Alligator mississippiensis: one gene and its partners. The protein of the gene in region 3 interacts with the protein of the main gene of each other region in a biochemical or structural test. Links are inferred from orthologs where the notes say so. Each region holds a gene or a part of one and is shown on either strand. Other genes may lie near its edges. The genes, in order: SMURF2, ACVRL1 and SMAD1.

Evidence for each region.
Region 1: the proteins of SMAD1 (region 3) and SMURF2 form a complex in vitro, tested with the Homo sapiens proteins (2 studies listed by BioGRID and IntAct, with this or other methods). The link is inferred for Alligator mississippiensis from reciprocal best matches to the Homo sapiens genes SMAD1 and SMURF2.
Region 2: of the proteins of SMAD1 (region 3) and ACVRL1, one has a biochemical effect on the other in vitro, tested with the Homo sapiens proteins (2 studies listed by BioGRID). The link is inferred for Alligator mississippiensis from reciprocal best matches to the Homo sapiens genes SMAD1 and ACVRL1.

Annotation. Positions count from the first base shown.
Region 1 is NC_081831.1:6,313,978-6,321,991, forward strand, and holds the start of SMURF2 (E3 ubiquitin-protein ligase SMURF2), read left to right. Parts: upstream 1-4,987; 5' UTR 4,988-5,129; coding exon 5,130-5,181; intron 5,182-8,014. UniProt on the Homo sapiens protein: E3 ubiquitin-protein ligase which accepts ubiquitin from an E2 ubiquitin-conjugating enzyme in the form of a thioester and then directly transfers the ubiquitin to targeted substrates.
Region 2 is NC_081838.1:6,394,049-6,402,082, forward strand, and holds the start of ACVRL1 (serine/threonine-protein kinase receptor R3), read left to right. Parts: upstream 1-5,014; 5' UTR 5,015-5,534; intron 5,535-5,853; 5' UTR 5,854-6,001; intron 6,002-8,034. UniProt on the Homo sapiens protein: Type I receptor for TGF-beta family ligands BMP9/GDF2 and BMP10 and important regulator of normal blood vessel development. On ligand binding, forms a receptor complex consisting of two type II and two type I transmembrane serine/threonine kinases.
Region 3 is NC_081825.1:101,105,032-101,112,848, forward strand, and holds the start of SMAD1 (mothers against decapentaplegic homolog 1), read right to left. Parts: upstream 3,009-7,817; 5' UTR 2,815-3,008; exon of another isoform or gene 2,806-2,814; intron 2,642-2,805; exon of another isoform or gene 2,216-2,641; intron 1,111-2,215; exon of another isoform or gene 1,001-1,110; intron 1-1,000. UniProt on the Homo sapiens protein: Transcriptional modulator that plays a role in various cellular processes, including embryonic development, cell differentiation, and tissue homeostasis.

The DNA of each region.
Region 1 (8,014 bases), on a different chromosome or scaffold from region 3:
AAAGATGATCCAAAGTAGCTTCAAAATTAGGGGGATCTAATTGATTAGACAGTTTACTCATGTAGAGGAACAAGATAATTCAACAGGGAAAAGGGTCATTATTACCCTTAGAGTGAAGAGAGGTTAGCTGAGATAACAGGTAGACTGTAATGAGTTATAAAGCCATTATCTCTGCTTAGTCAATAATTTTTAGTGTTCAGTAAGCTTATGGATTTTTGTTTCCAGGCCCATCTTTCAGAGGTTAAATTTATCTATTCTCTCTCCCACCTATATTGGTCTAATAAAAAGTATCACTAAAACCTTGCCTTTCATACATATCTTGGACCATCACATCTACAATACCACCCCAACTGTATTATAATACCAATGATCTCCTGCAGAGCTAGCAAATACAGGAGGAGATAAAATGACTGTTTTCCTCAGCCCTTCCTTGTCTGTAAAACACCGAGGTGGCATCCAGGTACAGCAAGATATTATAACGAACGCTAGCTAAAGGTTAGAAAATTCATAGCAAAGCTAAAATTCAGTTCTAAAATTAAAATAGGTTAAACAAACTGGATACACCACAAGTAGTGGTTTTACATTTTGTCTTTTTTTTTTTTCAGTTTTGCAGTGGTCAGGTAATGTTGCTATATTAGCAAACTGACTCCTGTTTGCTTTATATAGCCACTTTTAGAAAGTATAATGACTTGGCCATTTCAATTTGCAACAGATTGACTTTAGTCTGACCTTCAATTATCTAGACTGAATGTCTGCTGTTTAAACCCCCCCCCCCCCCCCCCAAATGCCTTTGTGGTACTATAGCTCCATTGAATGGTTTCTAGTAATATTGTACATTAGCTGCAAAATTAGCAGACCTATTGGGACTTATTTGATACAAGGTTTGAAGTCAAGGGGGGGTGCAGAATCGAATCCAGTTTTCCCGAATCTCTTCTCCTCTGTTCTAACTCCATTTTTCAATGAGCTGCTTCTTGTTTACAGCACAGTGCATTGCTTAACGTGTCACTAGGAAGGAAGAAAGATGCATCTTTAGCCTGTATCAGCTGACAATGATTTTTGCATTATATGGTCATTGGATAGAGGTAGTCTTGGAAGCAGAGGCTGTAACTGAGGACCCTCCCTTCCCAGGTAAGTGGTTATGCTTCTTTTTCTCTGACCCAGTTCATCTTGTATACTTTTCAGAAGTTAATAGCTTCTTCAGGATAGAGAGGGCCCCACCCAGAACTGCATGGACAGGCAGTCAGGGATGTGGTTTAAATATCCTTTGGCAGCAAAGAGAACTGAATGAATCTTCCACTTCCTGGACAAGTGTTTTAACCGCAAGGCTCTAATAAGAGGGCAGCAGCAATGCTCTAAAAGAAAGTGGTGGTTTCTGCCAGTGTACGTGAGGATGCTGAAAATACCTACCCACCTAGCTCAGGGGTAGGTATGAGCTAAGCACTAGGCCCTTCTACCCTCTCAAGCCTGGGACAGTTCTGGGAATGAGCAGAAGTGCAAGCTCTAATTGCGTGGGCACTCTGACACTATAAGGCACTGTGGCATTTAATCACCGCCAGTTAGGTGAAAGAAGGGTTTTTTTTCCAGGCTCTGTCTTTTTTTTTTTTTAAGTTAGTGTTAAATTTATCCTAATATTCCATTCTGTAATGTTTTAAATCTATTGTACGATGCCAATCCTACATTGAGATCTGTTAGTGCAGACCCCCAAGCCTGTGCCGAGCCCCGTTAAATTCCAGAGAACTTCAGTATGGTTGGCAGCTAGTAACTGTTGGCCTGACATCGGGTCTGATCCAAAGCCTATGGAAGCCAATTAAAGGAATCCTATTTACTTAAATGGGCTCTGAATCAAGCTTTTCCAGAGATGCTGAGCACCTCTAAATGTCAGGCCATGAGTTATCTGAACAGACAGTTTTTAAATGTTTTTGGCACTTTCAAGTACTTTGGCCAAGTCAGACATGGAAAAAAAATGTTACTTTTATACTTCTTAGAAACTAGAATTTCTCAAGCAATTAATCAATCCAATTTTGTACTGTTTGAAAAGAGCTATTATGCATGCAAGTTTCATAACCTTTTTAATGATGCAAAGAACCAGACATCTGAAACCCTGCAAATGGAAGAGCTGCAGCATTTTTACTGAGGTCAGCGTGACCCAATGGAATTACATCAATAGCAGCATCTCGTACAATGTAGAACTTATAATTATTCCACAGATAGCACGCGAGGAGCACCCCGAGTGTAAAAACCTCTTCTTAAAGTTCTCGTGTAGTTCCCAGACACATCAAAAAGGCATGTTCAGGATCAATTTACTATGCAAGTTGTAGGCTGAATTCGATGAGGAAGAGTTGCTTCAAGGAACATATTCCCCAGAAGCATTTTGCAGTTTTTGGCAGAAATCATTGTTGTGTAGGGCATATGTACTAGCCAGCAACTTTTTGGTGTTTGTTTCTTATTTTTAATGATCACTCGATCCTCAAACCTAACAGACTGCGTGGGTTTAAATAGATATATTATTAATTCCGTTGTGGCATGATATGCTAGGCGCTCTCTAGACATATAAGGAACAGACTGTCTTTTTGTTTTGTGTTTGTAGAGCACCTACTACAAGGGTCCTGTGCTGTGACTAGTGCTCCTAAGTGCTGTGATAATACAAGTGATACTGTGGAGTGCCTCAGCAGAATGGGACCTATGTCACAAAGCCCTATTAAACTAGCTGTCTTGGAAGACGTGTCAAACATAGGCAGCGATCTCCTACTTGGCAGCAGAGGCATTGGGTGTTGGCTGCACTCAAGGCTGGCGACTTTGACTGGGCTGTGCCAACGTTCCTGCTGGGACAAAAGCTGGAGGTTCCTGGCTAGCGGGTCTTGCTCCTTCGCTCAGGGTCAGACCGATCACTATATTTGGGGTCAGGAAGGAATTTTATCTTGTGTTCAGATTGACATAGACTGTGGGGGCTTTTGCTTTCCTCTGTAGCGGGGGGCATGGCCCTCTACCCAGGATCACTTGAGCATGCATTGACAACGCTTCATAGAAGAAGGATGTTGGCTGCTGTGGTTCCTCTGCTCGGCCTGTGGCAGGTTAGGGTGCTAGGTCTGCACTGTGTCAGGGTTTGCGGTAGGGTTCAGATGATTGATTGCACAGGGTAGTTTGGATAAGGATGATCCTGCCTCAGGCAGGGGGTTGGACTAGATCAGTGTTTCCCAACCAGTGGGACTTGAAGGTCATGTAGATGGGACTTCAACTCATTGCCCGATTGAAAAAAATCAGTTGTTTGCACGTCAAATAGGTGAATCAACAGATGTCTCCAACAGTGCAATTTTGTGGGGTTTTGTTTTTATCGTGGTAGGACCAGGGTTTTTTGACCAAATGGTTGGTGGGGCATAAGGTGCAAAAGGCTGAGAACTGCTGGACTAGATGACTAGGGACCTAGTTGGACGAGGGACCTCTGGAGGTCCCTTCCAGCCCTCCTGCTCTATGATTTGGTGATCGTCTTGAAATGGACCTTTTACGATCATCCCGAAATGGACCTTTTACAAAAAGCTGAGATTTATTTCTTCTTGTTAACTTGCCTGTCTGTGCCCTGCTGCTATTGTAGTGCCCCCTGGTGCGCTACAAAGCCTGGACATTTCTGGAGTAGTTCCCGCAGCATCTGGAAGACGGAAACAAGAAGTTAAATTCGAATATAGACTTGGGATGCAAGCCGATTCTTATCTTTTTGGAGAACGGTGATGGCATATGGGAACTATCTTGGCTGAAAATGCATCTACATCGCAGATAAACAGTCTAAGCCCGAACGGCCCAATGACCATACACAGCCCTTCCTTCCCGCGATTTCCCAGCTCCTCCAACAGTCCCGCTGACCTGTGGACCTACTGAAGGAGCCAGGGACCCCTCAGTCTCCATAGGGGCACTTGCCTTTATATCGGGGCCTGTAAAACCCTTTTAATTTTGCATCTTTCCTTTTTTGAGATAGAAACCCGTGCCTCCCCATCTCCCTGTTGATTGCAAACATCTTCCTCCCATTTCTATGTCCCGGGGAAGTGCTTTATAGCCAGACCTCCCCTCCCTTCCAGCTAGGGTGGCCGTCATCGAGGACAGTCTGGTTGTCCTCTATTGATACGAAACCCGGCGCCTTTATGTCCTCTATTTTTCTCTTTGAGGTTATTTTTCAAGAGAAAAATAGAGGACATAAGGGTGTCCGGTTTCGTATCAACAGAGGACGGAGGTCAAGTGTCTGTCGTAGGGCGGCCGTCATCGAGGACAGCCCGCTCGCCCTCTCTTGATACAAAACCGGACGCCTTTATGCCCTCGATTTTCCTCTTGAAGAGCCACGTGAGATTCGCCCGTTCCTTCCCTTTCCAGCCTCAAGGAACGAGGTTGAAGTTTGGATGCGACGTTTGGTACAGAAAGGTCACAGGCGGCTGTCATCAAGGACAGCCCGGTTGTCCTCCATCCCCTATCAATACCAAGCCGGACGCCTCGACGTCCTCTCTTTCTCTCTTGAAAAATCATCTGGAAGAGAACATAATCTTCCAGAGAAAAACGGAGGACATCAAGGCATCCGGTTTCGGTATCGACGGAGGACAGAGGTCAAGCGCGGATACGACGGTCAGTACGGAAAGGTCACGGGCAGACGCCCGGTTTTCCAAAACCAATCTCGAAGAGAAAAACGGAGGACACGGAGGCGCGGGGTTTGGCACCGACAGAGGACGGAGGTTGAGTCTCTGTCATCGAGGCCAGCCCGGTCGTCCTGTCTCGATGCCGAGCCCGACGCCTTGATGTCCTCCGTTTGTCTCTTCGGGGTTATTGTCTCTTCAGGATTATTTGTCAGGAGAACAGCGGGGTGCGGGGCTGGGGGCCACACGGCTGCACCCCCTCCCCTCCCCTCCCCCACCCCGGGCAGGGCGAGGGGCAAGCGGCGGTTGACCCCGCCCCCCAGCATGGGAGGGGGCGGGACGGGGGAGGGGGAGGTGCCTCCTCCTCCTCCTCCTCCTCCTCCTCCCCGGCGCCGGCCCCGCTCATGGCGCCGCTGGGCACATCCGGGCCTCTCCTCCTCCTCCTCCGGCCGCCGCCGCTGCCCTGAGCGCCCCGCGCGACTCCATTAGGCCGGGCCCGGCGCGGGGCGCGGCGGCGACATGTCCAACCCGGGCGCGCGGAGGAACGGGCCCGTCAAGCTGCGGCTGACAGGTGAGGCGCCGGGCCGGGCCGGGCCGGGCCGGGCCTGTGGGCGGAGCGGGGCGGGGGGGGACCCGCCGCGTGAGGCGAGCCGAGCCGAGCCGAGCCGAGGGCCCGGCCCGGCGGAACTCGCCCCGAGTGCGGCGGCCTCTTTTGTCCGGGCTCCCGCCGCCTGCCCCCCACCCCCAGCCCTGTCACTTCTGCGAGTCCCGGAAAAATTATTTAAAAAAAAAAAATAATAATAATAATTTAAAAAAAAATTGTTGAATCTGAGGAAAAAAAAACCCAAAAACAAACCCCGGTTTTATTTTGTCGGCCCGTTTCGTGCAGTCAGAGCAGCCCCGCTCGCGGCCAGCTCGTGTCGCGCCGCGGCAGCCAAACTCCTCTGAACCCGACTGGGGCAAGGATTTTGCGAGCGAGGGGGTTTTTTTCCCCCCCTGAGGAGGAAGAGCGAGTCTTTTTAAAAAAAAATAACCTGGAAAAGTTTGCAGGGTGCGGGGGAACCCGTGTGTTTTATTGAGCCATTTATTTAAAACAATCCGTGGATCTCACGAAGGAGCCGGGGCGTCCTCCTCTCCTGCGTAAAGACGCCGCAGAGGATTATGAGTCTGGGCAAAAAAAATAAGCCGCGGGGCGCCGCGTAAGGAAGCCGGGCGGGCGGGCGGGCAGTCCGCAAAAGGAGTGTGCGTTTTTCGTTGTGTTGTCTTTGCGTTCGCTTTTTAACGAGCCCAGAAAGACGAGGGCAGGAGATAGGGTCTCGAACGAGCATCTTCCAGCGTTAGCAGCTGTCCGGGGAGCGACCGGAGATGTTTTGGGAAACGTCGGCTTGTCTCGGGAAGGACCATTGGAGGGGATGGAGGTATTTTGGACCGGGTCTGCTGTAACCTGGTTGAAACGTCGCGTCGCTTGTTATAAGGAAGTTGTACGCGCTTTGGGAAAGTTGTTAGAAGCACTGAATTGAATGGACGTGTTGTCAGGTCTCGCGTCTCTTCCCAGGCAAGTACTCGGTGTGGTTTTGATGGTCCTTTTCGACTGGGAAAAGCAGCGCAAGGACCCTTGAGTGCTCGCACTGACTGGAGTTAAAATGCATATGGTTTTTTTTAAAGTAGTTTACTCTTCAGATCTGCCCCATGGTGTATAATCCTAATTTTCTTTGTCTTTATGAAACTAGCAGTCTTCTGTTTTGGCTTGAACGCTTCAAGGATTCATTCGATAATCAATGTGTAATACTGACTTATTTTCTGTTTGTTATCTCTAAATGAGATGGTATAAATGAAAAAAAATGGATTTCAAGAACTGGATTCAATTAGCATTTTTTTTTTTTCAGGACATAAACATTAAAGGTTTAGATAGAAAACATAGTTTTGACTGACTGGATAAATGGCAGGGTAGTGTTTGATGCGAGTCCAAGAACTGATCTGGAGCTAATGCCCAACCTCTTGGTCCATCTCGAGGAGCCAAATAAAATATTTAACCTAGGCCTCGTTTTGCAGAAAAGGTTGATTCTTTGTTGGGACCTTAAGTGAGTTCTGAGAAATGTTTGGCATACCTTTACACTAAGTGTTTAACGGTTTATTTAGGTCTGGGTTCCAGAATAGAGGAAAAACCACTGTGGTGGCATACTTCTAGTAAGTTTGTATTTAGCTTACAGTGCATCCCGGCTGTTTCTTCTGTTGCTTTTAGCTTTATTTGTATGTCATAAGTATCCCCTAATCCCTTAATGACACACATCGGAGTCTCAGGCACAGCCCTGAGCCAGAAAGTTGCTGGATAGTAGACAGTTACAAAAATCTGCAAAAGTAGCCTGGTGAAGATTTCTCATGAGAATAATAAATGCTGGATTTCATTAAGAACGTAACCAGTATAATTCAAGCTAGTGTCAGCTCAGAAGTTGGTCATAGGTTGTGTATGTAACTGTGTTTCCCAAAGCTTTCCAGTCTTGCTACCACTTCCTCAGTTCTGTCCCTTGGACCAGTAGAGTAGACTGGGCTTCTGCAGCCATGGATGTTTTTTGCCAGTTTTATCTAGTCCTTAGAACACATTATGCTGCACTGATTTAAAGACTCCAGCTTTCCCCCCACTTCAGTTTTCTGATGTGATTTATTTTTTATTTTTGTAACTAGTCAGAACTTCCATGATTTCTTGAATGTGGAAGTGAATCTAAACTACTTGAAAACTGGCTCAAGCTGAAACTTTGAGTTTTCGGTTGGAATATACTATTACAGTAGGAATATCACAATGTTTGCTTGGAATACAGTATTAATACAGTGCAGTGTGGGTAGGGAGAATCTTTTATTCTTTGAGGACTAGACAAGCATATTGCATACAGCTGAAAAGTTGGTTTTCCAGTAGTGTCCAGTAAGTACATTTGGGCTGTAATTTATGATTTACCTTTTAAAATAGTAAATGCAGTGACTTTAAGTGCCTTTACTTAGGGATATATTTGGTAGCTATGTTGGTCTGAGACAAAAAGAAATGCAAAACTCTCTAGAACTCTTGGTTCAGAGATGATATCTTTTATTAGCCCAACTAAGAAATCGCCAAAAAAAATCTTTTTGTACTTGCGAGGAGAATATCAATCAAAATGACACCAGTAATTTTTGAAACCTAGAAAAAATCACAAAAATGTAAGTGAAATCTGTTAATTATTGTGGTATAACCTCATACATATTGGGGAAAGGTGACGGACAGACTGGATTGATCACCTTTGCATAGTCCCTTGTGGTTACTTGCCAACTTGTGTGGTATTTGTGGCATAGCATAATTGGTAAACTTTTCCAGAGAGAAAACTAGAAGTAGAATAACAGTCCCTTGTGGGTTAGGAATGAGAAACAATTCACACTGG
Region 2 (8,034 bases), on a different chromosome or scaffold from region 3:
GCAGGAGCTGACAGGTTGGGTTGCTTCCGCATCCATGACCCAGACCCACTCCTGTCCCTGGACCCCACAGCCCAAGGAGGTGGGCAAGCCATGCTTGCAGGGCACTCACTGTGCCCCTTGGGCCAGGGCCAAGACATGGGGCCAGCTCCTGCTGTGGGGCTGCAAGAGGAGGGGACATGTCTGGGCACAGTCCCCCATGAGCAGTGCCCTGCAGCCACAGGATAGGAATGCCATGTGGGTTACCCCAGCCAGCCCAGGGGCATGGGGAGGGCAGGCCTGGCCACAGGTGGAGAGGAGAGGATCCCCCCAGCTGCAGTAGCCCCCAACAGCTCAATGCAAATGAACCAGCCACCACCATCCAAGCCAGAGGCAGCAGAGCAGAGGAGATTCAGCGAGCCCTAGACAGATACCCCACGGCCCCCCGCTGCGGAGAAGAGGGACGGTTCCTGCCCCGGGAAACCTGTGGTCAGTCACACTCACTGCCCAGAACTGCAGACCTCCCCTCCCCACCAGCACAGACGGAGCAGGGACAGCCCCAGCCACATCAGCCATGCCAAGTCACGTGGCAGCTCCGTGCACAACACAACCCAGGAGTCCCGACCCTGTGCCCCACGTGCAATGCCCTGTGCCCACGGGATGCGATGCTCTCACTGTTGCTCTGGGAACATCCCGGGCTCCTCGACTCCCTGCCATAACCACCCAGCACCCTGCTCCCCACCCCGGGTGCTGGAGCCTGGCAGGCCTGCTGGCACAGTCCCTGGCAGCGCTGCAGGCTGTGCCGAGATGGCGTCTCACTGCCGGCTCCAACACGCCTTGCCTCACCTGCCAGGCTGCGTTCACAACATGTTTGAGCTGTCCACACACCTGTCGGCCCGGCAGCTGGAGCCACTTGAGGCCTTTCCAGGTGATGCAGACAGGCTGCAAAGCTCCTTCTGCTCAAGGTGACACCGGGGCTGCGGCCAGCAGGGAAGCCCTGCGGCCCAGGAAAGCCGGGCTGCTGCATCCCCCGGCCAAGCAAATAAGGAATGAAGTCCCAGAGCCCTTTGATCTCCATGGCCGGAGGAGAGGTAGACATGGGAGAAGAGGGGCAGTGCCCCGAGCCCACCCACAGTTTGCCCCCCATGCTTTGGAGGCAGGCATTGACTGCTGTCACTGCTGGCTCCTGTCATGGGGGGCACTGCCCCCCAGGCCCATTGTTGCCTGCGTGGACACTTTGCAGGTCCCCGGTCACAGCGCCTGGCTCAGCTTGGAGCCAGTGAGGCCAGGCCAGCATCCAGACACAGGGAGGGGGGCTGGCGCTCAGTAGGGGACTCAGCCTGGTCTGGCGCTGCAGGGAGGGGTGGCCGAATTCAGGAGCCTGGTGGCCTGAGGACCACCTCCTGCTGCCCTGGCCCTCAGGCCACCCAAGATGCCTGTGGCCAATTCACAGGGGTGTCCGGGGCTTTGTGCAAGGCACAGGGTGCCCAGGGGAAGGTGCTTCTGCATGCCCCCGGCCAGCCCATCGCTTCTCATTTCCTCCACGCATGGCTTGCTGCTGGTGCCAGCTCGCCGGCTCGGCACACATCTGAACTGGGGGCGGGCAGCACATGGAGCAGGGGAGCCGGCGCTCCGCACATGCAGTGCCAGGCGCGTTCCAACGGTGGGGGCGGGGGAGCAAGGCGCCGGCGGGAACAGGCTGCTTGGGGGCTGGGGGATCCGTTTTGCCCCGATTCTAGCTGCCCCCGACTTCTTTCAAGCCTCGCAGTCTCTCCAGCAGTCACCGCTAAGCACTCAGGAGGGGCTGTTTCTGGAAGAAGACCAATGTCCCTGTCCTAGGGAGGCTACTGCAGATGCCCTGTGCTTTCCCCATGGCGTTTTTGCACCCCACAGCGGTGGTGGGCATCTCCTGAGGTCAGCCTCGGCAGGGTGGAGGTACCTGGACTTTGCTGCTGGGCCCAGCCTGGCTGCTCACAGGTCTGAGCAGGGACCCCAAGAGCCAAACCCCGGGGCTCGGGTTGCACCCCTGAACGTAATCGCAAGGGATTGAAAGCAGCAGGTTGAAAGCGAGGCCTTGTTCTGCTGCCAGTGAACTAAGCAACCCCCTTCTGCGACTTGGTGTCCCCATGGTCCAGTGGAGGTCATGAGGAGTCACAGTGGGGTGTCTGGGAGATGCCCTGGGTGCATTGGCCCCCCTGGCTAGTTTTGTCCTTTCTGTGAAGTCCGGACCTTGCCGGCTCCCTCCCTACGTGCCGACTTCCCATTGGGAACTGCACGCCAGACGGGGGGTGGAGCGGGTTTGGGGTCAATGCTTAGCTCGACAGTCTGCTTAACTCTCTCACCCCACATTTATTCCCAGGCAACCCTGCTGCACAGAAATCAGTGTACGCCAGTCCTCAAAACACAGCCCACACAGGGCAACTCACAGTCCCGAGGCCTCTGCCCTGACCCCGAGAACCAGCTGCTGGCTTCGTGCTGCTCCCCCAGTGCCGCCGCGCAGTTTTCCTTCTCTCTCCTGGGCGAATTCCCTCTCCCGGCCTCGTGGTGCTGCTGCCTCCAGGTCTTTTGCCAGACCCTGGGAGAGTCCTTGGCTCAGTTCTGCCCTCGCTAACCAAACCCCCTCCCCTTCTTTCAGCCTCCACCCCCAGCTCCTCTCCCTAGGAGCCCTCCTATGGCCACCTAATCATCCTCTGCAGCTGGCCCAGGGCTCCCAGGCAGCCTGCAGTCACTCCTGACTGCCTGCCGCTGGCCATAGTCCCTGCAAGCCTGCAGCCTGGTGGAGGATACTTGCCGATGGTCGGGCCATGTAAGACTTTTGGCTGATTCCAAGGATTTGGAACTCGTTTGACCTGGTGCACAAAAAAATGTCCAAAAAAAAAAGCCTGCCGACTCCTCCAGCCTGGGGGCTCCTTGGGAAAAGTCTTCTTTCTGCTTAGCCCTCCAATCAAGAACAGGGAAATCCCCGCCCCCAGCCCGTCCTTGTTAAAAAATAGAGCAGCGGGACGAACAGAAGAGCCGACATCCTCTCTCTGCTCTGGCCGCGTGTGTGGGAGGAGGGTCAGCTGCAGCATGTGGCTGGGGAGGAAGGAGGTGCTGGCTCTGGGTAGAGACTGGCCTGCTGCGAGGCAACATTTGGGCAGTCGCAGCCTTTCCACCCCGCTCCCTTCGGGCCTGCTGGCCCCAAGCCTGCCGCTGTAGCTGGGCGAACGCTCTTGGTCATCTCCGCGCCCCTAAGCCAGTGATTCTCAACCGGGCTTCACAGCCTGCTGGGCGCTGTGAGATCCTTTCAAGGGTGCCCAGAGGAATCCTGAGCTCTCAAACCCTTCAGTCCTGTTGGGGCCTTTCTAGGTCTTTGCAGCAAAAGAGTGGTTTTGTTCTTTGTCTGTAGCCTAAACAGGAGCGGAAGCTCGGACCTGGCGTTTTCTGACGGGGCCTCGAGTCTAACGAGGTTGAAAGCCACGGCCCTAAGCCAAGGCCACATGCCCGGTCCCTTGCACGGGCTCCTGTGACACGTGAGCTGTCCAGAAATGGCAGTGGGAGGGTGGCCCGGTGTCAGACAGTCGGGACTGGAGCAGAGATGGTGAGAGCGATAACGTGTCTGCGAGGGCGGGCGCAGACTTCCTCCCCTGGCGGCATGGCAGCCGGTCCTTCCCTAATCAGATTGAAGCTGCCCGTTTCCCATCCCACAGAGCCATGAGATTCCTACCCCTGCTGCCCCACCCTTGAACCTGCCGTTGGCCGGAAATCTCCCGGTTGCTAAAATATACAAGCATCTTTCACGGACAAGGCTTGCATGGAGCCATTGGTGGTGCTTCCTGTTGTTCGCTTTTTAAGTCTAAGTCTGAAGCAATCCGCAAGAGAGAGGAGAAGTGCGGGGCCGGCCGTGCTGTGCCAGGGCTCCGGTGAGAAGGGGGCATTTGCCCGTGGGAGAGTCCAGACTCCCGGGCTCTGTTCCCTGCTCTGTTTGGGAGGGCTGGGTAGTAGCTACAGCAGATGATGGTGGGGGCAGACTGCTGGCTTCCCTTCCTAGCCCTAGGGATGGCTGAGGGGTAATGCATCAAGGAGAGGGGTCCAGGACTTGAGGGTAAATGGTTGCACCTCGCGCTGCGCGGGGAGGGTCCAGGCAGCATCAAGGCTTGGGCTGCTCTTCGAAGCGTGACTTAGTGCGCACGTGGGGCTCGTCCTAGTGACCTCATTCCCCCGCACAGCGTGATGCCCACTTTGCTGTTGCCGCCCTCTTTACCCTGCTGCTGGGGGCTAGGGGCCAGGGAGGTACAGCCGGGATGGCTGAAGCCAGGACCGGGGCTCTCGAGTGCGAGCAAGGAAGAGGAACAGGAGGCCAAGATGGGGAAGACACCAATTGACCCACAATCGTGACTCAAACATGGAAAGGGGAAGCGGCGTCTCCGGGCCCAGGCAGCCCCTGTCCGCGGTTCCCAGGCCGCAGCTCCGCCACAAAGCCCACGGCACATCTGGGGGGAGGCGGGGAGTGCTTCCTTCCTCCGAGAGGACACTGGGTTTAATACCCGGACTCTGGCAAAGGTGGTGCTGGGGCTGGCGAGGGGCACGGAGTGTGACGGACCTACCCAGCCCTCTTGGCACCCACGTAGGACCCTTGCAGTCCACGGCACAGGAGCAAGGCCATGCCGGGGCACTGTAGAGCCTCTGCCCCACTGCTGAAGCTCAGCACATCCCATTGCACCCCGGGGCCCTGGGAGCGTGGCTCTGCATCATCCCCTGCAGCATGGGGCCCCTCAGTGCTGCAAGCCCAGGAGCCAGCGCGGGTGCAAGAGGGGAGGGCGGTTTGTCTCTGCCAAAGCCATAGTCCCCTGCGCCCCATCTGCTCCTTCAAGAGACTGGATGTGCTTGCCTTTGTCCAAGTGGCTGGTCTGGGTCTGAAAATGAAGCAAGGGAAATCCACCCGCCCATCCCATGCCAAGCCTATGGCAGGACAGGGAGGGAGGCCCAGGAAGCCGGGGCATAGTCAGGATGGAGTTGGGGCCCGGTGTGTGCGGGAGGAAGGCAGCCTGGACGGGATCTGTGCTCAGCAATAGGAAATGCTTTATTAGCTGGGAGTGGTGGAGACAAGCCAGGCAGGAAGAGGCAGTAATAAGAAACATTTTTTGACTTCTCCCACATCCAGGGCTCAGAGAGCTTGCCAAGCAGCCGCGCTCGGACACGGGGACGGAGGCCGGACCCCCTGGGGCTGGGAAAGGCAGTCCAGGCGCACCACCCCACTCCCCAGCTGCGGCTGGCGGGACACCAAAGCCAGCCCGCTACCCTGCCCTGCCCGCTTCCCGTCTGCAACGCCAGGAGGGGACAAGGAGGAAGGGGGCTGCCCCATGACGCTGCTTCAGGTCGGAGCTCATAGCGCAGGGGAGAGCGGCCCGGGGTGAGCCCAGTGAATGTCCCGGGCGCTGCTACCGGCGGAGGCTCGCGTTTGGGAAGAGTCGCCAGCCCCATCGGCCGCAGAGGCGGGCAGAGCCCCCAGAGCTGGGGGTCCCTGCAGCACCCCTGCCCCAGACAGTGCCATCCAGGAGAGGGAAGACCACCTGCAGGTGAGTGTGAATGCGCCGCACACTGGGTTTTGAGGCGGGTGCGAGGCTGCTGCCCCAGAGCGAAAACTCAGATCCAGACGGGCCAGATCAGGGTTGGCATCCCTGAAGCTCCCTGGTGTCCACCAGTGAGGCCCGGGCCTGCATTTGCTCCCCACAGCCTCCATCACTCCCTGGGTCGCACGCTACCCAGTGCTGTTTCATGGCATCCCCTAGGGCTTTCATTACCGAGGTGCCCCTCACATCCACCCCAAGGGAGGAACCGCATGGAGATCCCCTGGGCTTGCTCATGTGTGACATATGTGCATAACTCCGTCCTCAGCTCCAGAGCAGCCGCCAGCAGTGCTGGAATTGCTTCTGGCCGCTGGGGCCAGGCTCTGGTCCTCGCTCCAGCAAAGTCGGCGGGACGTCTCCGGGTTTGCACTGGTGCAGCACAGCTCAGACTCGGACCCCGCTCCCTCATTAAGGAGGTGAGATCATATCTAACAACGTTAGATATCAGCTACGCTGCTGGCAGGCTGGGGGGGCAGCGAATGTTGTGGGGATGTTGTGAAAAGCTGCAGGAGAAAGGTAGGGAATGATGGACCGGGACCGGGTGAAGTCACTGAAAGAGGAAAATGATGAAGGACATAGAAATTCATATGGCATAGCATGGCATGGCGTGGCATAGCATGGCATGGTATAGTATGGCATAGTCTTGGTGTGGGACAGAAAAGCCTGAAGCTCCTTGTGCCTTTCCGAGTGACTCCACAGACTGAGTCAGCGCGGGACAAAAGCCTTTGCGGCAGCTGCAGATCCTGCTACGGGGCAGAGGGGGGCAGGATGGGATCCAGAGGCATTGCCCAGTCCTGGGGCCCCCGGGCTGGGGTACATGGCTTGGTCCTGGCCCTCTGGCCACAGAGCAGAGGCGGCTGTGAGTGCAGGAGCTCGGAGATGCCATGGAGGCAGCTCTCGAGAAGCCATTTGCTTCTGTTTGCAAAGAGCTTGCAGGGTGCTGAGCCCCATCCAAGAGCCGGCTCGGAGAAGTCTCCCCTGCTCTCGTCCAGGCTCAGAGAAAATCAGTATTTCCCAGAAAGACTGAAAACAAGGCAATGGGTGGGAAGAGGCCGCTCGACCCCTTCTTCTTTAGCCGGCAAACCTGTTCACCCTCCTCTCTGAGCGTGCCCGTCTTGCAGGAGGACACAGAGCCTGGGAGCACACAGCTCTGCCCTGCTGGTCCCCTCCCAGCCCTCCCAGGAAGGTCCCCACAGGGCGCAATAAGCCACCGTCGGAGACTCAGGTTAGGAACAGAAGTCCAGCCTGATCGGATCGGGCCCTGACCCCAGGCACTAAGTTGTCTCCTGCTCAGGAGCACGGCTTGCCCTGGACGGGACCCCTGCAGGGCAGGAACGTCCAGAGGAAGATGATGTCTCTGCTTCACGGGATCCCCTAATGCAGCTCCAGAGCCCGCTGTGGTCCACAGAAAAGCCCCTAGGGATCTGGGAGGATTTTTGATCGAGTCCATAGAGCCTGGGATCTGATTGTGGAGGGCCTGAGCAGGACTGGGGCCACTCAGCACCCCTGGAAACAACCCTGGAGCCACGGCGCGGAACCTTCTCAGATCAGTCGTCTCTTCCCCCTGCAGCAACCCCAGGGCGCCACCATGCACGCCCACGCGGCCGGCATTGCTTGCGGGGGGGCTTCGTGGCCACTGACTCCAAGGGAAAAATAATAGGGAACTGGGTCATGGGAGCTGCATCCTGGCTCCAAAAACACAGAAGTAACCAGAACCGCAAATGGCAGAGGAAGTGCTGGGCTTGTGACCCAGAGAGTGGCAGGGGGAGGAGGGGAGCTGAACATCCCTCTCCCGCCCAGGGCAGGGGGTGAGACGATCCCTGCGGGTCAGGGCTGGGCAGTGGAGTGCGAGCGCGGTGGAGAAGGGGTTTCCGTCCCCTGGGCCTTCCCTCGGACACCGGTCCCCAGCACAGCCCCTCGCAGACAGGTGACGTTTGGGTTGCCCAAAGGTGCGGCAAGGTCTGGGGGAGACAGCGAGCAGGGACGGGAGGTCAAGAAGAGGCAGCGAAAGGGCTGCCAGCCTCCCCGGCCCTGTCTCCTTGCAGGCTTGGAGCACAGCTGCCCTCGGCCAGCACCGAGCGCACCTTGGTTTTAAAAGGAGCTCTAATGAAGCACAGTTCATCTGTGCGCCTCATATAAGCATCTTCCATGGAGAGCGCTGCATTGCCCTGCCTTATTATGTGATTATACAGGGCACCTTAACATAACACCTACATGCTTAGCACACTGTTGCACTATAAATAATAGCTGCGGCACATGGGTGGAAGAGATGGAATTAAGGTTGCTCTGGAAACCTTATCTCCGATTATCTTCACCCAGATTCTCAGCCCTGTAAACCAGTAGAGCTGCCTTGGCTTCAAAGGAGCTCGAACAGTTGGGGAGAACCGGAGAAGCTGGTCCCTTGATTTATTTATTCAAGGTTCAAGGAGTCCCAGACAAGGAAATGTCA
Region 3 (7,817 bases):
ATGTAGCCACTCTGAAGAGACTGATCATTTTTTCAGGTCAGAAAATGATTAATACAATTTAGTTAAATTCCCCCACAAAATACATGCTGTTTATACAATTCTATTATTTCAGCTAATAACCATTGCAGAAAGAGGTTAACAATCAAGCTGCACATATTCACACATTTCTCTTCTTCAGGCTGTAAGTGCCAGTTTCAAATCCTCTTCGTATCTTGCAAACTGTACATATGTTGCTTTCTTTATTTAACTACTGCACCACCCATATTTGAAGCATAATGGGCTATGCCACAGACGCTTGCTTTGCTGCCCTCATAATATGGTTTAATTATGATGACTGAACTAATAGGCTCACATCACAGACTTTTACAGGTTGACCCCATGTCATCCTGATGTCTCATTTTGCACCAGTACAGTGCTGTAAATCAATTTAAGATCTCCAGCACGTTGAAAAGGCTGGTAATGATGCTTTTTCTGCAGTCTCAGGGGACTCCACATTATACACAACTTACATTATTTATAAAGCTGAGATGATGCCTCCATTAGCCTTGTAAGGCTACACAAGTGAGAGCTTTTATATATGCACACAACTTGGACTTCACAGACCCGCCTACTCTATGTTAAATATAACTGTTTCCAGATTTTTTTTTAATTGAGTTCTACATTTGTTTTTAACATGCACCTATTGACTCAGATTTTAGTACAAAAATAATAAAAAACTAGTTAGTAAAAGAAGCAGCATCAGTTTTAGCAACCTTGATATCACCTCATTATGTTATTCACTATGCCCTGATTACATAATCAGAATTCAAATGCTAGTAATTTATCAGCTCTGTGTTAATATTTGACAGTTAATATTAACACAGAAACTAGAGAACCTCAACCTTCAGTTTATCCAGTCAGTTTTTTTAAATACGTGAGATCATCAGATCTTCAAGGGTACAATAAAAATGGCAAGTAGAGAGGGAGACGAGAGAGGGGGAAAATGTATTTGATTACATACCTAGTGGAAGAAACAGTGAAAACTAAAGCAAGGACAAATCCGTTTAGGGTAACCTGAGCTTCCTTGAACTAATCCTCTCTGGAGGCGGTAGAAGGCTCCTGGATCACCCAAGTCCTGAGAAGTCCCTCTCAAACCCCTAGTTACAGTGCAAGATGAATTGCAGGATTAGAGCCTGAGCACCATCACAAGAATTCCAAAATAGGTTAAGTTTCATTTAGCATAAAGAAAGCCTGAAATCAATTACTGTAGAGGAGTCAAGAAAAAACAAAACAAAACACCAAGTACATAATATTTGTTATGCCAGCTGTGAATGGAGAATCTTATACCAACTGCCCTACACAGATCTCCAGCTCAGATGGATTTATTTTTATGCTGTCAGTTTTAACTGGAAGCAAACCTCCCATAAATTTAACGCACCATAGATGAGACTAAAATCAATTGTAACACAGCAAGTTCCTTCACACGATTCTCATTCATTGGTACAGTGAGGTGTAGGCACTTGGCCACATGAAAAACTACCATAATCAGAGACACAGGTACAGAAGAGTCGTCTCCGCAGCTTGGTGAGCCTCTTTTGAGCCCTACACTATATGATATTCAGAAGTCCCACAATACAGCTAGGTTTTACACTCAAGGAAGGAGCAAATCAAGAAAGACAGAGCTGCCAGATTTTAAGCCACAACCTGCTTGAAGCACAGCCTCTCTTTAAAATGCAATTTTCTAAAGATGTCAGATCCCCTGAATTATCCTCCAATAAACTAAGCACATGCCTAGGAGTAAAGCTGAGCAGCGATCTTTTCTATTTGTTATTGCTCTAGTTGATAAAGGGGGGGGGAGCAAGGGGAAGAAAAAAGAGGGGGGGAAATTAAAAATTAAAGGGTTGGGGGAGCACTTGATTGTCACAAGTTGCACCCATTCTCAGGCACAGCATCTATTCTCCCCCGCCCCCCAAATAAACTTAAATAAAGTCTCTGCCTACATCTAAGCAAAAAAACACTCATGTATGGTGTTAAGCAAGCTACAAAAGCCAATCCACACATTGCCTGCAGATGATAAACCAGTATCAAAGGGCAGAATACAGCAGTCTTGACTGAACCCCAGCCTCCCATCGCCTCCCCTCATCTTGCATACACGTGCATGGCTAAATCCAGCAGGATTTGCCCTGGCAAGAGTGCATGACTGACCGCTTGCATGCCCAGAAACTTGAATAAGAACCTGAGGGTGAGGCAGGGAGAGAAGATGAAGGGCTGGCAAGTCTCATCATCTTGTGAAGCACCAGCACATCAAAGGCAGAGAAGAAAAAAAAAAATAAATAAAAGATCCCAAGGAGAGAAAACCCCTCTGCATCCAGCCCTGCTGAAGGAGAAGCATTTTGTGAGTGAACTCGCCTTGACCTCGGAGCACAGATTCCTTGTGGAGGGGGGAAGGAAAGAGATGAAGGAGGAAAGAGAAAAAGCAAGAGACAACCCCCCCCCTCCAGGCCAGACGGACTAAGCTGAGGGAAAAGAGGAGAGAAAGGTTTTTCTCCCCAAATCAAAACAAAAGGAGGGCAGTGGCGCTGCCCACAACTCCCGCAACTTCCCCACAATGGGGCCAGGGCAAGAGGCGAGGCGTCCAAAGGAGGAGGAGAGGCAGCTCCCGGGCCTCCTCCCAACAAAGGCAGCTCGGCGGAAACCCGGAGCGGTGGCGGCGGGCCCTTGCAGAGGTATCCCGGCATGGCCGGGGTTGAGCAGGAGGCGAAGCGGTCAGGTGAAGTGTAGCTGCGCTCCCTCCACCCACAGCCCGCCCAGCAGCAGCGCACGCACCGCGGTTACCGGGACGGGGCGCCCCGCGCTGCTGCCTCCTCCGCGCCCGGGTCGAGCTGCGCGCGGCGGCGTCACGGAGCCGGAGCCGCCCCGGGCCCTGCACAGCAGCCGCCGCCGGCTCAGGGCTCCGCTCCCAGCTCCCGCCCCGCCGCCGGGAGGCCGGGCCAGCTTCCCCCGCCGCCCGCACAGCCGCAGGGCTGCTCCAGCCGCCGCCGAGGAAAGGCGCGAGGGAGCCTCCCTGCCTGGGGCGGGGCCGGGGCGGGGCCGGGGGCGGGGGCTGCTCCCGGCCGCGGGACGCTGCTCCGGACGGACACACGTTACGGATGTTGCGCGGGGGATCGCGCCATAAACGCGGGCGGGCTGCACACGTCTTGCGAGGGGCGCTGGTGAACTACTTGGGAATCGCTCTGCATGGGTGGCTAGTCCGTATTGAGTGTGTGATTCAGTGCATTGCATTACTGGTTATCGGATAATGGTATGGGAATTACTTTGCATGTGTGGGCAGTCTACGTTTTTTGCAAGATTCACTGGTTAACTACGTGGAAACTGCTTTGCACGGTTGGCTAGTCCATATTGATTGTGTGATTCAGTATATAACCAGTTGATGTAGAGTGCAAAGTAATGACCACACCATTAACTGGCTACTGGTAGCCAGCAATACACCGAATCAAGTAATAAACATAGACTGGCCACCCACGCAAAACAATTCCCACAGTTCAAGAGTCACTGGTTGACTTATGTAGAGTGCCCACACATGCAAATTAATGACCACACCATTTGTTGTGAGATTCGCTGGTTAACTATGTGGCAATTGCTTTGCACGGGTGGCTAGTCTTATGTTTACTGCATGATGGAGTGAATTACTGGTAACCGGTTACCAGCAATTCATGGAATCACTCAGTAAATGGAGACAAGCAAGAGAGCCACAAGTGTAAAGTAATTCCCATGCAATTAACAGGTGAATTATGCAATAAGTGCAGACCAATTGTACCACCAAAGTAATTGCCATGCCATTCTCTGGGGAAGCCCACAATAAATGTAGCTGCAAGGTCGCAGCCAATAGCAAAGGCACCACAGCGCACTTAACCAGCAAATCACAGAAAGTGCTGACTGGCTACAGCTGCAAAGCAAATTACTACTAATTAACTGGTTACTGGTTACCAGCAATTCACTGGCATAATATAAATGTAGACTACCCACACATGCACAGTAATGACTACACAGTGAGTCCCACAATAGGCGTAGACTGGGACACCTGCACAGTAATGAACACAGTTAACCAATGAATCGTGCAATAAATGCAAGCCAGCCACACATGCAAAGTAACTATCACACCATTAAATGGTAACTGGTTACCAGTAATTCACTGAATCATGCAATAAATGTAGACCAGCCACACATACAAAGCAAGTGAGCCACAATTTGAAGGGCACTGCCACACAATTAACTCATGAATTGTGCAATAAATGTAGACCAATTGTACCAGTAATTACTGTTCAACTAACCAGCAAGTCCCACAAGAAATGTAGACTGGCACACATGCAAAGCAAGATGGGCCACAAGTGCAAACTAATTACCCACAATTAACTGGTGAATCCTGCAATAAATTTAAACCTGCCACATATGCAAAAGAATTATCCCACACACTGCTGGTTACTGTTAACTGGTTACCACACAATTAACTAAATCCTGAAATAAATGTAGACCAGCCACACATACAAAGCAAGAAGGCCTGAGGTACAAAATAATTACCATTCAATTAACTGGTGAATTGCACAATAAATTGAATTCCCCCTGCAAAAAATAACACATACACACACACACACAATTAACCAGTAAATCCTGCAGTAAATGAGCAGTGTGCCCTCGTGAAAAAAGTTAACAGCATACCGGCCTGCATTAGGAGTGTTGCCAGCAGATCAAGGGAACTGATTCTTCCCCTCTATTCATGCCTAAAGAAAGGTGTTTGTGCCTAAACGCCTGTAAAGAATAATTTTTCCAACTATGTAGTTGGTCTAATAAAAGATATCAGATTTACCCAAAGAACCTTGTGCCCCTTTTTTCACCACTACTGAGGCCACATCTTGAGTACTGTGTCCATTTTTGTGCCTCCCACTACAGAAAGGATGTAAGCCAATTAGGGAGTTTAGCAGAGACGACCTACACAATGGTGAGGGAGCTGGGGCACATGATGTATGAGGAGAGGGTGAGGGAACCAGGCTTATTTAGTCTGGAGAAGAGCAGATTTGAGGGGAGGGGGGAATTTGGTAGCAGCTTTCAATTACCTGTAGGAGTACTTACAAAGAAGATGGAGCTAAACTAAATTAAACTAAGCTAAACTGAACTGTTCTCAATGGTGGCAGATGACAGAACAAGGAGCAATGGTCTCAAGTTGCAGCAAGGGAAGTTTAGGTTAGATAGTAGGAAGAATTTTTTCGCTAGGAGGGTAGTAAAACACTGGAACAAGTTACCCAGAGAGGCAGTGGAAGCTCTATCCTTGAAGGTTTTTAAGACCTGGCTAGATAAAGCTTTGGCTGGGATAATCTAGTTGGAGATAGTCCTGCTTTGAGCAGGGGGTTGGACTAACCCTACTTTTCTATGATTCTATGAAATGTGAACTACTCACATGTAAATGAGTTGGGCCACAGGTGCAAAGTAATTACCACACAATTAACTGGTGAATCCTGCAATAAACGTAGACTAGTCACACATGCAAAGTAAGACCCTGACAAGTGCAAAGTATTAACTGGTGAATTGCACAATAAATTTAAACTGGCCACACCTGCAAAGTAACTATCACACATAAAATTGACTATGCAGCTGTAAAATTAGTCAACCAGCTATAAAGTTAGTTCTTGAAAGTGTGTAAACAACTCTATTGCTGGTTTCTATTCAGCTTTAATTTGAATGTGTGGCAGGGCCCTAGATGACCTCTACTCTTGGATTCCAGGAACAGAAAGCAGCTTGGCTCATTGCTTATTGTTGCCTTGCTACCCTTAGCCTGTAGCCAGTGTCTGCTTTAAACACACTATGTGATCTAAATTGCATCAACATATACCAACTATGTACCACATAGCTACCATGTGCAGGGTATTCAGTCTCTATGAAACCATGAAAAATAACTATGATTTTCAATGTTCACTCAACAGTTTGAATTGGTATTAATCAATGAATAGGTGAGAGCCAGAAATTACACATAAACCAGTATAAGTGATTGAAAACCAGTTCAAATCTGTAACACAACAGAAGTTCAGTGTACATAAATCACTTTCAGAATGGCTGAAATTGGTTTAAGATAAACCTGGATGGATGTAATATCAGACTTAACAGGTTTAGGTTCAATCAGTTTATTGAACTTATGTACTTCTGTCTCAGATCCCCCTCCAGATTCAAGTTTAGTGTCCCAGAATCCCAGGATGCTTTGCACCTCTCCCACAACCCCCATTCCCTCCCTGCCCCCCTGGTGGGCAGGCTAGCTTTGGCCCAAGCTGTCTGCTTCAGCCAAGGAAGGAGGTCTGTTATAGCACCCCCTCCACTTCTGGCTTTGGGCACTGCAAGGACGTGTGGCTGCATTTCCAGAATCAAAAGTGAATGTCTGTTCACTTGCTTATTGGTTTAATCTACACATCTTAGATTAAGCTATGAAGATTGAATTGATTCTGTCTCTGGCTTCTTGACCATCTGTACTTAGCCATACTAGTCTGGCTGTATATAGTACTTTTCAGCCCCCACCCCTCCCCCCATGTATGTAAGATGTTTTGGACTTCAACCCAACTAAGCATTCCTTAGGGAAATATTGCTGATTCAGGCAAATTAATCCTATTACTTCAGTGGTTCTCAACCTTTTAGGGCTCAAGGCACCCCTTCAAAAGTTCCAGATGTTAGTTTTCACTTGATTTTTTGACTACAGAAAACACTACAGCAATTCTTGTGTTGCAAAGAACTCACAAAGATCACAACAGGATAGAATGCTTTTAGGAAGGGAGTATTATTTGAAATCTGTGGGTTTATTTTGTGAAATGTGTTTGTACACCAGAGAGTGCTAACATTGTGTGGCACCGCGTGGTACACTTGAAAGGATCTCAAGGCATTCCAGGTTGCTGTGGCACCTTGGCTGAGAATCAATGAACTAAACCTATTAATGCAATCAAACTTGTGTGAACGGAATCTTGCCATACTATGGTTATGAATCAAAGGAGCTCCATCTAGGTTGCAAGATTATGCTCCAGAAGCTGGAGTTGGAGCTGATTTGAGGGTCTACATGCATAAGTAATTATAGGGATTTTTCTATTGACCATGTAAGTGCATCACAAATATTATTAAACTCATGCTCCAATTCTGAAATGAATGAATGGGGACCTAAATGTGGGGTAGAAACAAAGGGGTTGTTTATATGAAGATATATTCTGGCATAGCTATATGGGGATACTTATACCTCTAGAGTTATTCTATAAATTTCCCTGTGTATATAAGCATTAGGTGTGATATTAACTTAGCTTTAAAACACAAGGGAGATAGAGGCACAGAATAGCCAAGGCTTTATAAATTACAGGAATAAATTTTACTTACTCACATATATAAAAATATTCATAAATGCCTGTAAAATAATCTCCCTAAGTCACAAAAGGAGTCTGTGGCAGAGATAGGAGTAACAGTCAAGTTTTCTAGCCCTGGACCTCTGCCTCAAGAGCATGCAACTTCCTAACTAAACTTCAGCCATCTCTTTGGTAAGCAGGCATGCTATTAGTACACCAAATATACCACCACAGTGGCAGAAGAGGGAATTTTAAGTTACTTGGTCAGCTCCCATACTAAAAAAAAAAAAAAAAAAGCACCACAGTCCCTTTAATGACATTGCAAAGCAGCCAAGGGCTTTCTATTTAAAAAACAAACAAACAACAGGACCAGCTTGATTTAAAGTTTGTATTTTAAATAAGCCAGTTCCTTTATCCATTACCTCTAGCACCTTAAATTATTAAAGATGAATTAATTTTAATAATATATTTTACTCT